Saccharomyces cerevisiae S288C: one gene and its partners. Changing the gene in region 1 together with any one later gene gives a genetic interaction. Each region holds a gene or a part of one and is shown in the gene's direction. Other genes may lie near its edges.

Region 1 (3,583 bases):
ATTATTTCCTTTTTTTCTATCTATTTCCTTTTGTATTATTTTGACTGAAAAGCTTGCCAGCGTCTTTACTAAAATCTTTCATATGTTCGGACCGCTATAGTAAACTGAAACTTGATATTCAATAATTATCAATCTTCGAAGCTAAAGAAATACAAAATCTTTATTCGAAAAAGTAAGTAACATAATCAACCGCTGATTAGCACAATATGAGGATACAGTCGCTTTTTGTTTTATTTAATGTTGCCATCATCGCATGGTCATATCCATATGAGCCTTTAAGGGTTTTACAAGTAGGAGAGAATGAGGTAATGGAGGTTCCCGAATCAGAAAAGCTAAACTTACGAAGAAGAGGTGTCAAATTCTTTGATGTGACCAAACACACTTCTTTCTTACCTTTCTTTAACAAGGAGGAAGAGCCAACAGTACCAACGTATAACTATCCTCCTGAGATATCGAACAAAGAAGTAGTGGATGATTCGATTAAGAATATAGACAAGGGCTCTATGCACAAGAACTTGGCAAAGTTTACAAGTTTTTACACCCGTTACTACAAGTCCGATCACGGCTTTGAATCTGCCGAGTGGTTAGCTGCAACTATCGCTAATATTACAAAAGATATTCCGCAAGATACGTTGACTATTGAACATTTTGATCACAAAGAATGGAAGCAATATTCAATTATAGTCCGTGTCACGGGATCTACTACGCCAGAAGATATTATAATAATTGGTTCTCATCAAGATTCTATCAATCTGCTACTGCCATCCATAATGGCAGCTCCAGGTGCGGACGACAATGGGTCAGGCACGGTGACTAATATGGAGGCTCTCAGATTATATACGGAAAATTTTTTGAAGAGAGGATTTAGACCTAACAACACTGTGGAATTTCACTTTTATTCCGCCGAAGAGGGGGGATTGTTGGGTTCTCTTGATGTTTTTACAGCTTATGCCAAACAGAAAAAGCATGTGAGAGCGATGCTTCAGCAAGACATGACGGGATATGTTTCTGATCCAGAAGATGAACATGTGGGGATTGTCACCGACTACACTACTCCCGCATTAACTGATTTTATAAAACTAATTATCAACTCTTATCTATCCATTCCTTACAGGGATACACAATGTGGCTATGCTTGTAGCGATCATGGGAGTGCCACCAGAAACGGATTTCCAGGCTCCTTCGTGATTGAAAGTGAGTTCAAAAAGACTAACAAGTATATTCACAGCACCATGGATACTTTGGACAGATTAAGTCTCGCTCATATGGCGGAACACACAAAAATTGTATTAGGGGTAATCATTGAACTCGGGTCATGGTCCGCTTGGTAAAAGTCAGTAATATGCATACATAACTAATGATGCCTTACCTTGGTGTTCTTTTGTAATATACCTAAACCGATATCACGCTAGTATTTATTTCCCGAATTTTTTTGGCGTATTTCGTCATCTGAAAATAACATAATCAATGAAAGAAATAGAGTCAGTTGCAAAAAGTGCAAGCCAGCGCTAACCGCTCCCGATTTAGTCGCAATATTGATGGCAAACAGTACCAAAAACTGGTTACCCATATAAATTGTTTGGCATTGTTATTATTGTTATAAATTATTATTGTTATTATTATAAATTATTATTAGTATTATACAAAGTTTTCAATTCTGCAACAAGTTGGGCCGCAAAATATGGAGAAAAGCGAAAGTAATTCTGAAGGACTTTATCTCCAAAATATATTAAATGTTCCCCCTCCGCAGCGATTTATTGTGCTCATAATACTTGCCCTTTGGATCTGGACATGGATATTAAAATTCTTCTTGCATAGTAATTTAGACGTATCCCAAGTCATACTCACGAGAGTACCGCACGATATACGTCCAGGTTATACTCTACAGCAATTGCATAGAACAGCTAGAAATTTTGCTTTGAAGATAACAAGGATTATTATACCGTTCCACTTTGCCACTGTGTTCCTTTTTGAGTTCATGAATATTATAGAAGGTCCACTCAAAAATATCATTCTCATCGTATATTTTCTACCATTGATCCAATGTGTCACTATATTTTGGTTTCTGTTGAAAGAGTGCCAGATAATAAAATATTGTACTAGGAGATGTTTGTTGATAGAATCCTCCCCCCGTTCCTTAAGGAATACCTACATTTTAATCTCTGACACGTTGACATCGTTTGCAAAACCATTGATAGACTTCACATTGTTTACCTCTCTAATTTTTAGAGAACCCTTCACACATTTTGATCTATCCGTAGCCCTTCTTCCTGTACTGGTAAGACTACTGCAGTGTTTGAGAGAATACCGTTTACTGCACGAAGCAACTTTACTATTCAATGCATTGAAATACAGTTGTAATCTTCCCATTCTTTTTTGCACCTGGAGATCAAGAGTGTATGAGGGATCCATCAACGAAGAAAGACTACACCACGTTCAAAGATGGTTTATGCTAATTAATTCTTCCTATACGTTATTTTGGGATGTAAGGATGGATTGGTCATTGGACTCGTTAACCTCTTTAAGATCCAGATCCAAAAGTGCCGTCACATTAAAGAAAAAAATGTATCATTCGGCGATTCTCGTTGACTTTTTGCTGAGGTTCTGGTGGCTATGGGTATATTTATCGCAGAATCTGAAATTAGTTGCCGCAGATAGCGACTACATTTTTTTCCAAGGCGAAATGCAGTATTTCGAAGTAATTAGAAGAGGCATATGGGTCGTTTTCAAATTGGACGCAGAGTATTATATTAAGTTTGCAAGCAAATAATTTGTTGGGCAAGCCATATAAAATCATGCAAATGCTGTAAATATTTGTTCTATTTTCCCCGTAGAATGGTTTATTCGATATATTACATATAATAAACGAAAAATACATATGCACAGTATATACTTTTCCAAAAAAAAATCAAACACTGTTTGAGCGTCAAGAAACCCCAGGCGGTGCCCGACGATAATGCGACTGCATTATCTCCTACGCTTGTTGTCGTTTGCCTTTCTTTGGTTTATTCTTCGTTCATTTTTGGTCAAATATCTGAACTTTTTTACTCTTGGCTTCTTCTTTTGTTTCTCATCCACGCCCAGAAACTTCGCGTATTTGGTGGCTCTATTTATGCTTTGTTTGAGTACTTTTTCTGCCTTTTCTAATTTGACATTATTTAGCTGGGCTAAATATTCAAAGTTATCATTGGGTTCCAATGTCTCCAATTCAACAGTAGTTGAGTCATCGTATATTTCCGTGATTGCTCCTTTCTTCAAAATAGGCTTTACGCTACTTTCATTATTGTCGTTATCGCCGTCATCTTTATCAGAATCAAACCCGTGCCAGGATTCATCAGATTCTACCTGCAAATCCTCCGTCTTATCATTTTTCGCATCCTCTATCTCAGCTTCCAAGTTTAAACTCTCTTTAAACGTCTTTAACTGTTCTTCCATCACCTCCTTACGTTCCTGCCGAATCTTCTGTCTTTCTTCAATTTTTCTAAGCCTTTCCTGCTCCTTAATAAACTCTTGTGCTTTCTTTTGTCTTTGAAGCTTTCTCTTGTGAAAGCCAGTCAGATAATCCAAACGAGAATCCTTGTCG
Region 2 (5,597 bases), on another chromosome or scaffold:
GAAGCTGAACTAAGGAAAGCTGAACTTAAGAGAGCAGCTGCTGCAGCAGCGGCAGCGAAGGCAAAGAACAATAAAAGGAATAACCAACTTGAAGACAAATCTTCTAGGCTCACCAAGCAGCAACAGCAGCAACTGTTACAGCAACAACAACAACAACAGCAAAATGCCCTTAAGACTGAAAACGGAAAGCAACTCGCGAATGCATCCTCTTCTTCAACATCACAGCCAATTACGTCTCATGTTTATGTCAAACTACCATCTTCCAAAATTCCTGACATTGTATTGGAAGACGTGGATGCTCTATTGAACAGCAAAGAAAAAAATGCAAGAAAGTTCGTTCAGGAAAAGATGGAGAAACGGAAAATTGAAGACGCAGATGTCTTTTTCAACTTAACGGACGATCCCTTTAATCCTGTATTTGACATGTCGTTGCCTAAAAATTTTTCGACTAGTAATGTTCCCTTTGCATCTATCGCGTCATCCAAGTTTCAGATAGATAGATCTTTTTATTCTTCACATTTACCAGAATACTTGAAGGGGATATCTGATGACATCAGAATATATGATTCAAATGGCCGTTCGAGAAACAAAGATAATTACAACTTGGATACCAAAAGAATCAAAAAAACTGAACTGTACGACCCATTCCAAGAAAATTTGGAAATTCATTCGAGAGAGTATCCAATAAAATTCAGGAAGAGAGTTGGTAGATCTAATATTAAGTATGTTGATCGTATGCCAAATTTTACAACATCGTCGACCAAGTCTGCATGTTCTTTAATGGATTTTGTAGATTTCGATTCAATCGAAAAAGAACAATATTCAAGAGAAGGTAGTAACGATACTGACTCGATTAATGTTTACGATTCCAAATACGACGAATTTGTCAGACTTTACGACAAGTGGAAGTATGATTCTCCACAAAATGAATATGGGATCAAGTTTTCAGATGAACCGGCAAGACTTAACCAGATTTCAAATGATACTCAGGTGATTAGATTCGGAACAATGTTGGGTACGAAGTCCTACGAACAATTAAGGGAAGCCACCATAAAGTATCGTAGGGACTATATCACCAGACTGAAACAAAAGCATATACAACATTTACAACAGCAACAACAACAGCAGCAGCAGCAACAGCAGCAAGCACAACAACAAAAGCAGAAATCACAGAACAATAATTCAAATTCTTCGAACTCCCTAAAAAAATTAAATGATTCGTTAATCAATTCAGAAGCGAAACAGAACTCTTCTATAACCCAGAAAAATTCATCATGAGCAGCACAACTTTGTACCTCTCGAACATCTTTCTACGCATTGGCATTTAACAAACCTGACATTCAAAGTTTACTACGAAAGTCGAGGCAACATTACTGAAGATTCAAATCACCGAAATGAACACCGATAACGCAATAATAATGAAAAAAAACAAAAAACAAAAAAAGATAACTACAATAAATTTCAAAAGAAAAATAGCAAGTATCATCCGGCTGTAATATTATCACCTTCACAAGACTACATATTTTTAACGTTTTTTTTAATTTCCATTTCACACGGTTGTGACCTTTTGATTTTTCGCATGATTTCATCCCAAATGCTTGATGTATTTAAGTTAGATTCATACTCTTATATAGACAATTGCATAACTCACTAGGTACCCTCAAATAAATGCATTTCTTCTTATTATCCATTTTTTTTTCCTGTATGGCGCGAATTTTGAAAAAGGTCTAAATATACCAACCAAGTCATAACAAGAAAAAGTAAAAATGAGTCTCAACACATTCCTTGCAGTTCCATCTGATAGTAAATTCACACTCGAAATACTCCCTCTACTTTAAAGCATTGGCCTATATCTTAGGCTTACCATCATACAAAAATCTTCATTTCGTTATGGGTATCAGGAGATTAGTTAGTGTTATAACGCGGCCCATAATTAATAAAGTTAACTCATCTGGTCAATACTCGAGAGTACTCGCTACGCGTGAAGACCAGGATAAAGCTTCCCCCAAATATATGAACAATGATAAGATAGCAAAAAAACCTTACACATATCGCCTTTTCTCTATTCTTGGCATTTTAAGCATTTGCTCGCTTTTATTGATATCGCTACTGAAACCTTTTAATGGTGCAGATGCTCCTCAGTGTGAATCTATCTATATGTTTCCATCTTACGCAAGGATCGATGGATTTGACGAGAGGTATACACCACTGGCACACAAGTATCATCTTTACTTGTATCGAGAACAAAGCGTAGACCGAGAACCTTTAAATGGTGATGAGTTACAACTTGATGGTATCCCTGTACTTTTTATACCCGGAAATGCAGGTTCTTTTAGGCAATGCAGATCGATTGCTTCCGCTTGCTCCAATATATATTTTGATTCCAATACCAGGGCGACTCTGCGTAACGAAAATGTGCGAAATTTGGACTTCTTTACGGCAGATTTCAATGAAGATTTCACTGCGTTTCATGGTGAAACAATGCTTGATCAAGCTGAATACCTAAATGATGCCATTAAGTACATCTTGTCTCTTTACGAAAGGACCCCTGATTACCCACATCCAAAACCGCAGTCAGTTATTATCGTGGGACATTCCATGGGCGGTATTGTATCCAGGGTCATGCTAACTTTGAAGAACCACGTACCGGGAAGTATAAGCACCATATTGACCTTATCATCACCTCATGCTGCTTCACCAGTAACCTTTGATGGTGACATTTTAAAGCTTTACAAAAATACAAACGAATATTGGAGAAAGCAGTTATCCCAAAACGATTCTTTTTTCTCTAAGAACATTTCATTGGTTTCCATTACAGGCGGTATATTGGATACTACTTTACCTGCAGATTATGCATCTGTAGAAGATTTGGTTAGCTTAGAAAATGGGTTCACCAGCTTCACAACTACTATTCCAGATGTTTGGACTCCAATTGATCATTTAGCCATTGTTTGGTGCAAGCAATTAAGAGAGGTACTAGCGCGCCTTTTATTGGAAAGTATAGATGCCTCCAAACCTGAAAAAGTTAAGCCATTGAATCAGAGATTGCAAATCGCTAGAAAACTATTGCTTTCAGGGTTTGAAGACTACTCATGGATGAATAGTAAGTTAAATTATCCTCAAGAAAACTTACAAGAATTTAGTGACAACTTCTTTTCTGATTACGCTACTTTGGAAATGAACGATGTCCTAGATTTTGAAATGTTTAACCTGGAAAAGTGGCACAACAATTATACAAAAATAAATATTCCGAGTAACATCTCCTCCACTGAACACCTGCATTTCACATTATTAACTAGTCTCGATATGCCTATGATCTATTTCTGTACAGAGTCCAGGGTGAATCTAAGCTGTATAACAGCTGTTGATAGTATTCTAACAGTGCCCAGGTCTTCAAAAGATACTCAGTTCGCAGCTGATTCTTCTTTTGGAGAAGCAAAAAATCCGTTTAAAGCCGTTAGTGTTGGCAAGAATATACTACAGAAGTACGACTACTTGATGATAAGCAAACCCACTTACGGTGAATTTTCAGAACAAGAAGGCATGGAGGACAATCAGGGGTTTCTTTTGGCATTACTGCGCAACGTCTCCAATGTACAAATAGTCAATACTACACCTTCTCAAATATTGCTCTTTGGAGAACAACTACACTTGGATGGCAAAGACATCGAGCAGGTTATAAGTTTCAGTAATTTGTGGGATTCTTTATTATCGTACAAATTAGAAACCAAGATTGAGGCAAGCAACGAAGGTATTGCTTCCGAAGAGACATTGTTTCAGCCTTTCATAAGGCAATGGGTTTACGAACCTTTCGAGTCTAAATGGCATCTAAATATTATAAACAAAAGTCTCGATATAAATATGCATAATGTAGCACCGTTTATCCCATTAAATGAAAGCGAACCGAGATCGCTACAATTAAGTTTTTTTATTCCACCCGGAATGTCCTTAGAAGCTAAAATGACTATTAATTGGTCTTTAACTTTGAAAATGCTGTTTATCAGGTACAGATTAGCACTAGCATCTTTTCCAGTCGCGTTTATAGCACTCGTACTGTCATACCAGTTCTACTGGTACAACAAGACATCTGAGTTTCCTTCCTTTGATAGCACTTTGGGATATATTTTAAGAAAGCACGGAATATTAATGTTTTTTACGCTGTTCTTAGCTTCGCCTGTGGTTAATAATAAGTTGGTACAACGAATACTTTATTTATTGGATCCTGTCGGTTTAAATTATCCATTTCTGCTATCCGAGAGAAACATGCATGCAAATTTTTATTATTTGGGGATCAGAGATTGGTTTATGTCAACTATTGGAATTCTCTTTGGGGTTATGACAGTTGGATTACTAGCACTAGTTTCTAAGATTTTTGGATCCTTGGAAATTTTAGTAATATTCCTTCAACGGAAGTTATCAAAGAAAAACACTGAAGATAAAGAGGCTTTTGATACTATTGAACATAAAGCGTATGGTAAGGGAAGATTAATGGCATCTGTGCTTTTATTACTGTTGGTATTTTTTCACATACCATACCAGATGGCGTTTGTTATCTCATTAGTAATCCAAATTGCTACCTGCATTAGAGTAGCGCTGTTGAAACTATCAAACAACGAGCAGAAATTGAACTTACTAAATTATAATATGACGTTGCTTCTGCTTTTATTATTTGTTAGTGCCATTAACATCCCTATCATTATTGTTTTCCTGCATAATGTTGCCATCAAATGGGAAACTTCATTTAGATCCCATCACAATATACTAGCAGTGGCACCAATTATTTTTTTGGTTGGAAATAATTCTATTTTCAAAATGCCAAACAGCGTACCTTTAGACACGTGGGATGGTAAAGTTACCATCATTTTATTTGTGTACTTAACCGTTTTCAGTTTCATTTATGGAATAAGAAATCTGTACTGGATACACCACTTGGTGAACATAATATGTGCCTGGTTGCTATTTTTCGAAACAATACATTAGAACTACAACCCAGTAAAAAAAGATTAACTGTATATATTGCCTGAGAGTTCTAGATCATGGCAAGAAAAAAGCTTGAACTCGTAAAAGCAAAGGTGGTTTCTACCACTACTTACGAGATGTTTATTATGTAAAGGAGTTTAAATATTATCAAATAAGAAAGATACCATTTTTTTTTATAGAGAATGTGGTGCATCTGATGAGCACCTGAATCTAGTAGTAACCTTATACCGAAGGTCACGAAATTACTTTTTCAAAGCCGTAAATTTTGATCATAAATTATTATTATCTTCAGTCCAGAACTTTCTGGCTTCCTCATCAGCTGCCGTATCGGGAGTGTACATGTCGACGGGTTCAACTTCTCCCTCTTTGTAACTTGCATCAGCAAACGGTCCTATCCTAGTATTTTTTGAACTCGTAGGTGTGGGCAACTGATAAAACTGATTTTTCTCTATATCATCTGCAGTCTCAGAAACAAAAGTTCTTTCCGAATGTTTATCCGATGTTGTTTCCTTCCTTCTAGGATATAGGTCATATAATCTACTTCTGAGACTGCTTTTAGCATCGTTGTTGATACTATCAGTTTGAAAGCTAGACAGCGTGCCTGGATAAAACCTATC
Region 3 (3,700 bases), on another chromosome or scaffold:
AATCTTCGTCAGGGTATGCATAGTTGAACAGGTCATGTTGGGCAGTAGCCCACTCGTTGTTGTCCTCAGCCAAAGCATCGAGGTTGATATTATTTTCAATAATATAATCCGACGAACTCAATGAATCAAAATCCCATTTCATTTCCACATCGCCTTCGTTCACTCTCTTAATTTCATTATCATTTGATGCTATTGACTTTTGTGCTTCATCACCCCCGCCATTTTGTGATGGTTTTGGAGCTTCACTGGGTTTTGATGGCTCATTTTCCGGTATACTGCCCTCTATTTTATATTTGTTTTTATTCTTGTCCCTAAATAGTAGATATCGTGATATTAGTTCTTTCAAAATGGACGTTGGCGTCGCCTTGTGGGCCCTGATAAATTTTGATTTTAAAAGATCGTCTGCTGACAATCTCTCCTTTGGATCCTCATCAAGACAAAGCGCAATAAATTCTTTCAAAGATGTACTGTATGATCTGTCCTCAAGCCTCGGTGGTTTCGATTTGATGATTAGTTGCATTGCCCTTAGGGCCTCCACATCGCAGTATGGCGGATTTCCGGTGGCAATCTCGTACGTTGTAATACCTAAAGACCATATATCTACTTTAGTGTCGTAATAAACGCCTTCCATGATCACTTCTGGAGCCATCCAGTAGGGGGTCCCAGCCATAGTTTGACGTCGTAAAGAAGTTTGGTTTACTTGTGCAGCGACACCAAAATCGCATAGTTTAACATTACCTTCGTTAGTGATCAGAACGTTTGCTGCTTTGATATCTCGATGAATGACGTTATCTTTATGAATGCATTTTAATGCTACAAGCAGTTCTCTCATAATAACCCCAATGTACTTTTCATCGATTTTGCCTGGCCTTAACAACGAACGCAGTGAACCACCAGCGCAGTGTTCCATTATGATCCAAAGGCTTGTGTCTTTCAAATACGACCCATAATACCGCGTGATATTGGAAATCTGTTTCAAGGAGGCCAAAAACTGAATTTCTCGCTGCACATCCTCCACCTCGTCAGAATCAGAATCTAAATTTAAGACTTTGATAGCATACACTCGTCCAGTCTTCACGTTATAGCCCTTATAAACCACACCAAATTTCCCTCGCCCAATAACTTCCGTTCTCTTGAAAAGTGAACTCACATCCATCTCTCCTTCGGCTAAACCCTGCTTACTATTTTGTGGCTTCGTCGTCATTACTGCCTGTTCTCTATACGTGTTTTGCTTGCCAGTCGATGGCGCCCAAATTTATACTTTTTGTTTCTTTATCTGTGTACTGTTAAAAGTAGTACTGTTAAAAGTAGTAAGCTCCTTAGAAAGCGGTTCCGCCTAATAGTTCCTAACTTGTTGTATGTGGCTTCACGTAGGACGAGTTGCCTCTGTTCTTCTTTGACTTTTGCCACGTCGGCAAGCTGCTGCTCTTGTTGATGCCTTTAAAGATTGTCAGATCGGCCTGAGATCGACGTGTGGCATGATAATGTTGCTCGATGGGCTGTAAATAGATAAGAAAGAGTGAAACGAATAGAGTAACGAGGCCACAGATGTGGCGAAACCTGGGAGGATATGTTCTAACGTTATCTAGAGTTCTGATAGAGCATTGTATGCGATAGTACCGCTGACATATGTGCATTCTTTAATTATATCGATGATATCATGCAACACGGGTTAGCTCTGTAGTAATGTAAACCTCTCTTAACTACGGCCAAGAATATCAGCAGCGGAGGTTAAGTTGCAGGTTATACCTATCTGTTTTGTAGTTAGGAAACGTAGGCGCATACTAATTAGGAGTAGCAAGGCAAGATGCAAACTGTGTTGAAATATTTGTTGCTTATTATGTGTGGAAGCTTTTGTGCTTCGGAGGAATTGCAAAACCAGACCAATGTTCCTGCAATATTCTTCTCTTACAAACTGTATGTAGAACAAGAAACATTAATCTTTAGTAACTTTCATTTTTCTTACTAACTAGATGTTATACACATATTTGTACTTTTGGATAGAACTCCCGGTATTTTAAAGTATCAAGAGGATTATGATAGGGCTGTGACTTTACCAAGAGACACCTTTATTGAAGCGGCTGAGAAATTCTTAGGTGTATGTAATGCTGACACTTATGTGTTTATTAATCAACCAGGCCTGAGGAAATTGGACTTCTTGGAATTTGAAACAGAGTTTGTTTCGTTACAGAGATATATAAGACGGAGTTCAACCGCGATTAAGTTCGAAAAGGTAGACCTATTGCCTCAAGATTTATACTATGATCTTGCAGAGTTTGTAAAGGAGTATTGTAACGTAGACCAGGTGTTGAACTTACGAGGTAATAATACAGAAGATTTCCAGCCCTTTATTGATAGCGAAAAAAGAGTGATTATAATAGAGTACCCTAAGTTACCAGAGGACACTAATGAACGTAAAGAAGCATTCCGCCATTATGACAAGTATTTGAGGACTATACTGGCGCAGATTCCGTCGCCAGAACAAAATGTCATTTACACCTCGTTAAACCCAGGAACTACGCTGGCTCACGAGTCGATCATCCCTATCCAAATATTTCCAGATATCTTTGACATAAAATCCAGAGTGGGTGAAGTGGAACAAAATAATAGAGTTTTGGATGTGCCTCGTCTGTCGTTTAATGACTATACTCCACGATTTTCAGAGCCACCTTCGGAGTATGTCTCAATATTTGATTCACAATTAATTGAGAATAACAGAGGTTTATTACAGCTGATTTTCACAATTTTGGTTGGGTATATTCTTATTCAGTTTTTTTTCACAAAAAAAACTATTGTAGATGAGAAGATTACTAATAAAAAGGACAACGTGAAACAGACGTCACCACAACTGCTCAAAAAAGTGCAAGAGATCCAGAAAAAGCCATCCCAGCAAGTATCTTGATTATGGTTCGTTATATACATCGATTCTTTGCAAAATTATCCATGAGAGACTTCGCGCCATGCTACAATTTACCAATGCGCATCGAGAAATTTATGCTATCGCATTTAATATGATATAATTATCCGTCTGTTTATATATATATATATATGGGGCCAAACTGAAAGGCGGCAGTTACATTACATCGTCTCCTCTACCTAGTCATGAACATCAGTGGCACCTTAAATACGCTCCGGTTGCTTTATAACCCATCACTGTGTAAGCCTAGTCTAGTTGTCCCCACTTTTAACGATCTTCCTATACCAATCCACGATTCTATAAAGGCCGTGGTCTTGGATAAGGACAACTGCATCGCCTTCCCTCATGATGACAAAATATGGCCAGATTACTTGCAACACTGGGAAACCTTAAGGTCGAAATACTCTAACAAAGCACTCTTGATTGTTAGCAATACCGCCGGTTCCAATTCTGATAAGGACTATTCGCAAGCAAAACTTTTGGAAGATAAGACAGGTATACCTGTTTTGCGGCACTCTACAAAGAAACCAGGTTGTCACAACGAAATATTAGATTATTTTTATAGAAACAAAACCATAACAAATCCAAAAGAGGTTGCTGTTGTTGGAGATAGGCTTTTTACTGACATCTTGATGGCAAACCTAATGGGTTCATACGGGGTGTGGATTCGAGATGGTGTTAAAGTTTCGGCAAATCCTCTCTCCAAGTTCGAAAAAAAATTATACAACTTTTTGGGATTTTGATTAGGCAACTTTAATAAAAAGTAAAACATTTTAATTTTTT
Region 4 (5,271 bases), on another chromosome or scaffold:
TTTATCATCGTCGATTTGCCACCAGAGGAGGCGTTGAAGGTCAGAAACTACATCAATGATAATGGTTTGAGCCTGATCCCACTAGTGGCTCCTTCTACCACCGACGAAAGATTGGAATTACTATCGCATATTGCCGATTCGTTTGTCTACGTTGTGTCTAGAATGGGTACTACTGGTGTTCAAAGTTCTGTGGCCAGTGATTTGGATGAACTCATCTCTAGAGTCAGAAAGTACACCAAGGATACTCCTTTGGCCGTTGGGTTTGGTGTCTCTACCAGAGAACATTTCCAATCAGTTGGTAGTGTTGCTGACGGTGTAGTGATTGGTTCCAAAATCGTCACATTATGTGGAGATGCTCCAGAGGGCAAAAGGTACGACGTTGCTAAGGAATATGTACAGGGAATTCTAAATGGTGCTAAGCATAAGGTTCTGTCCAAGGACGAATTCTTTGCCTTTCAAAAAGAGTCCTTGAAGTCCGCAAACGTTAAGAAGGAAATACTGGACGAATTTGATGAAAATCACAAGCACCCAATTAGATTTGGGGACTTTGGTGGTCAGTATGTCCCAGAAGCTCTTCATGCATGTCTAAGAGAGTTGGAAAAGGGTTTTGATGAAGCTGTCGCCGATCCCACATTCTGGGAAGACTTCAAATCCTTGTATTCTTATATTGGCCGTCCTTCTTCACTACACAAAGCTGAGAGATTAACTGAGCATTGTCAAGGTGCTCAAATCTGGTTGAAGAGAGAAGATCTTAACCACACGGGATCTCACAAGATCAACAATGCTTTAGCACAAGTTCTTCTAGCTAAAAGATTAGGCAAGAAGAACGTTATTGCTGAAACCGGTGCTGGTCAACACGGTGTTGCCACTGCCACTGCATGTGCTAAATTTGGCTTAACCTGTACTGTGTTCATGGGTGCAGAAGATGTTCGTCGCCAAGCTTTAAACGTCTTCAGAATGAGAATTCTCGGTGCTAAAGTAATTGCTGTTACTAATGGTACAAAGACTCTAAGAGACGCTACTTCAGAGGCATTCAGATTTTGGGTTACTAACTTGAAAACTACTTACTACGTCGTCGGTTCTGCCATTGGTCCTCACCCATATCCAACTTTGGTTAGAACTTTCCAAAGTGTCATTGGTAAAGAAACCAAGGAACAGTTTGCTGCCATGAACAATGGTAAATTACCTGACGCAGTTGTTGCATGTGTTGGGGGTGGTTCCAACTCTACAGGTATGTTTTCACCATTCGAGCATGATACTTCCGTTAAGTTATTGGGTGTGGAAGCCGGTGGTGATGGTGTAGATACAAAGTTCCACTCTGCTACTCTAACTGCCGGTAGACCTGGTGTCTTCCATGGTGTCAAGACTTATGTCTTGCAAGATAGTGATGGTCAAGTCCATGATACTCATTCTGTTTCTGCTGGGTTAGACTACCCAGGTGTCGGTCCAGAATTGGCATATTGGAAATCTACTGGCCGTGCTCAATTCATTGCAGCTACTGACGCTCAGGCTCTGCTTGGCTTTAAATTATTATCTCAATTAGAAGGTATTATTCCCGCTTTGGAATCTTCTCATGCTGTTTATGGCGCTTGCGAATTGGCTAAGACGATGAAGCCTGATCAACATTTGGTTATCAATATTTCTGGTAGAGGTGATAAAGATGTCCAAAGTGTCGCTGAAGTCTTGCCGAAATTAGGTCCAAAGATAGGTTGGGATTTGAGATTCGAAGAAGACCCATCTGCCTAATGAGTAATATCTGATAAGGAACGCTTTTATTTAGCTTTTTAACTACATAGACGAATATAATATACGATCGGGATACATTAGCATATTCAGCTCTTTTACCTCTCAATTTGCTCAAGATTAGTATCGTGACCAATTTTAGATCATTTCGGTCAGAACAGCCACATTTTCGCGTAATTTAAAAGTTCAATTATTGTATGCGTGACACACTATATTAGCGTCAACTGTTAATAAGGAAGTAGTGGATAATAACGGTTCAGGTTGCTTCACAATGCTTATTTCAAAATCTAAGATGTTTAAAACATTTTGGATACTAACCAGCATAGTTCTCCTGGCATCTGCCACCGTTGATATTAGTAAACTACAAGAATTCGAAGAATATCAAAAGTTCACGAATGAATCTTTACTGTGGGCACCGTATAGATCCAATTGTTACTTTGGTATGAGGCCCAGATATGTCCATGAAAGTCCACTAATTATGGGTATCATGTGGTTCAACAGTTTGAGTCAGGATGGCTTACATTCGTTAAGACATTTTGCAACGCCTCAGGATAAATTGCAAAAGTATGGTTGGGAAGTGTATGATCCAAGAATTGGTGGTAAAGAAGTTTTTATTGATGAAAAAAATAACTTGAACTTGACTGTTTATTTTGTAAAGAGCAAGAACGGGGAAAATTGGTCAGTGAGAGTTCAAGGTGAGCCTTTGGATCCCAAGAGACCATCTACAGCATCTGTCGTATTGTACTTTAGTCAAAATGGTGGCGAGATAGATGGAAAATCTTCCTTAGCAATGATAGGTCATGACGGCCCTAATGACATGAAATTCTTCGGATATTCTAAAGAATTAGGCGAGTATCATCTTACAGTAAAGGACAATTTTGGTCACTACTTCAAAAATCCGGAATATGAAACCATGGAAGTAGCACCAGGAAGTGACTGCTCTAAAACAAGTCATTTATCACTTCAAATCCCGGATAAAGAAGTTTGGAAGGCTCGTGATGTTTTCCAATCTCTAGTTAGCGATTCGATACGTGATATACTGGAAAAGGAAGAGACAAAGCAGCGTCCTGCTGATTTAATACCAAGTGTTTTAACTATTAGAAATTTGTACAATTTTAATCCTGGTAATTTTCATTATATACAAAAGACATTTGATTTGACCAAAAAAGATGGGTTCCAATTTGATATCACTTACAATAAACTTGGCACTACTCAAAGTATTTCCACCAGGGAACAAGTTACGGAGTTGATTACTTGGTCACTAAATGAGATAAACGCGCGTTTTGATAAGCAGTTTAGTTTTGGAGAAGGTCCCGACTCAATTGAAAGCGTGGAGGTCAAAAGAAGATTTGCTTTAGAGACGCTATCAAACCTATTAGGAGGAATCGGTTATTTCTATGGGAATCAACTAATTGATCGTGAAACAGAATTTGATGAGAGCCAGTTTACAGAGATCAAACTGCTGAATGCAAAAGAGGAAGGTCCATTTGAACTGTTTACCAGCGTTCCGAGCCGTGGCTTTTTCCCACGTGGATTCTATTGGGATGAAGGTTTCCATCTTCTACAAATTATGGAGTATGATTTTGACCTTGCCTTTGAAATCTTAGCGAGCTGGTTTGAAATGATCGAAGATGATAGTGGTTGGATTGCTAGAGAAATTATACTGGGTAATGAGGCAAGGAGTAAAGTTCCGCAGGAATTTCAGGTGCAAAATCCCAATATTGCTAATCCGCCAACTTTATTGCTAGCATTTAGTGAAATGCTTTCTAGGGCCATTGAAAACATCGGCGATTTCAACAGTGACAGCTACCACCAAGTCATGTTCAATAGTAGGACAGCCAAGTTTATGACGAACAATCTAGAAGCCAATCCTGGCTTGCTAACCGAATATGCCAAGAAAATTTATCCTAAGCTATTGAAGCACTATAATTGGTTCAGAAAATCTCAAACAGGACTTATTGATGAATATGAGGAAATATTGGAAGATGAAGGAATATGGGATAAGATTCATAAGAACGAAGTTTATAGATGGGTTGGGCGTACCTTCACTCATTGTTTGCCAAGCGGTATGGATGACTATCCTAGAGCACAACCACCAGATGTAGCAGAATTGAACGTAGACGCATTAGCATGGGTGGGCGTTATGACAAGATCCATGAAGCAAATTGCTCACGTGTTGAAGTTAACACAGGACGAGCAAAGATATGCACAAATTGAGCAAGAGGTGGTCGAGAATCTGGATTTGTTACACTGGAGTGAAAATGACAATTGCTACTGTGATATTAGCATCGATCCAGAAGACGATGAGATTAGGGAGTTTGTATGTCATGAGGGTTACGTCTCCGTATTGCCCTTTGCATTGAAGCTAATCCCCAAAAACTCACCCAAGCTAGAGAAAGTAGTTGCTTTGATGAGTGACCCAGAAAAAATCTTTTCAGACTACGGGCTGTTATCACTATCGAGACAAGACGACTATTTCGGCAAGGATGAAAACTATTGGAGAGGCCCAATTTGGATGAATATTAATTACTTGTGTCTTGACGCAATGAGATACTACTACCCAGAGGTGATTCTCGACGTGGCTGGTGAGGCTAGCAATGCCAAGAAACTGTACCAAAGTTTAAAGATTAATCTCAGTAACAACATATACAAAGTTTGGGAAGAACAAGGTTATTGTTATGAAAATTACAGTCCGATAGATGGTCATGGTACTGGTGCTGAGCATTTCACAGGCTGGACAGCACTTGTTGTCAACATCCTTGGACGCTTCTGAATCTATGTAGATATTTTCAGTCATATAAACAGATATGTAACCAGATATGTACCAGTATGCAGGATGAAAATTATAAATGTTCCAGCTATTCGAAAAGGGCCTCGCATCTCTTAGTTAGAGCCAGCATTTTCAGCTTTTTTTTTCTCGCGTTTATTTACATTTCGATGCGGCTGTGAGAAAAAGTTAAAAAATCGTGGAAACCAGCAACTGGTAACTAGCAGTCTGGGCCATTGCAGCTAAAAGCCAGACAAATAAACAATCGAAAACACACTCGAAACATGCATTATGAAATGTCACATTTTTTTTTTTCTTTTGGGGATTAATGGTTGCGAAGTGAGGTCTTTTCTATTTACTGCGGTAAGATGAATAAAAGTTAGGGAATGTTATTGTTTACAAGCTGGATACTAGATCTCAAAATGTTAAAGTGTAAGGACTGACAACAAAATATGCTGCACCGAAAACAAATTAAGAATCTGAGGAGGGACTATTTAAGTGGAAAGAAAATTGAAGTTCAATGATCGTGTTTTCCTTCTGCTTATCCAAATACACTGTTATATATTAAGGCAACAGTACTATAATCGTCAGTTACGCAACAAAGACAGTCCACTCTTTTAGAAGAATAAGCCTTTACTGACATACCTCCACTGTAATAAATCTATTCTATTCTCTGTACTGTTTATCGACTTATTATTACGCTACACTCATTGATATAATATCTAATAGAAAACCATCATGATTTCACCCATAAGCTTTCT

Evidence for each region.
Region 2: mutations in ERD1 (region 1) and BST1 together harm fitness more than expected from each alone (negative genetic interaction), as found in Saccharomyces cerevisiae (4 studies listed by BioGRID).
Region 3: mutations in ERD1 (region 1) and BIG1 together harm fitness more than expected from each alone (negative genetic interaction), as found in Saccharomyces cerevisiae (3 studies listed by BioGRID).
Region 4: mutations in ERD1 (region 1) and CWH41 together harm fitness more than expected from each alone (negative genetic interaction), as found in Saccharomyces cerevisiae (3 studies listed by BioGRID).

What each region holds. Positions count from the first base shown.
Region 1 is NC_001136.10:1,294,785-1,298,367, reverse strand, and holds ERD1 (Erd1p), read left to right. Parts: upstream 1-1,681; coding exon 1,682-2,770; downstream 2,771-3,583. Other genes in the region: YDR415C (putative aminopeptidase), read left to right, coding at 207-1,331; rRNA-processing protein RRP17, read right to left, coding at 2,968-3,583. UniProt on the Saccharomyces cerevisiae protein: Required for the retention of luminal endoplasmic reticulum proteins, affects glycoprotein processing in the Golgi apparatus.
Region 2 is NC_001138.5:83,528-89,124, reverse strand, and holds BST1 (Bst1p), read left to right. Parts: upstream 1-1,890; coding exon 1,891-4,980; downstream 4,981-5,597. Other genes in the region: EPL1 (Epl1p), read left to right, coding at 1-1,278; alpha-factor pheromone receptor STE2, read right to left, coding at 5,250-5,597.
Region 3 is NC_001140.6:314,076-317,775, reverse strand, and holds BIG1 (Big1p), read left to right. Parts: upstream 1-1,807; coding exon 1,808-1,917; intron 1,918-2,004; coding exon 2,005-2,902; downstream 2,903-3,700. Other genes in the region: putative serine/threonine protein kinase KIC1, read right to left, coding at 1-1,204; GEP4 (phosphatidylglycerophosphatase), read left to right, coding at 3,103-3,660. UniProt on the Saccharomyces cerevisiae protein: Required for normal beta-1,6-glucan synthesis.
Region 4 is NC_001139.9:442,887-448,157, reverse strand, and holds CWH41 (mannosyl-oligosaccharide glucosidase), read left to right. Parts: upstream 1-2,014; coding exon 2,015-4,516; downstream 4,517-5,271. Other genes in the region: tryptophan synthase TRP5, read left to right, coding at 1-1,746; SCW11 (putative glucan endo-1,3-beta-D-glucosidase), read left to right, coding at 5,249-5,271. UniProt on the Saccharomyces cerevisiae protein: Cleaves the distal alpha 1,2-linked glucose residue from the Glc(3)Man(9)GlcNAc(2) oligosaccharide precursor highly specifically. Seems to play a role in beta-1,6-glucan synthesis.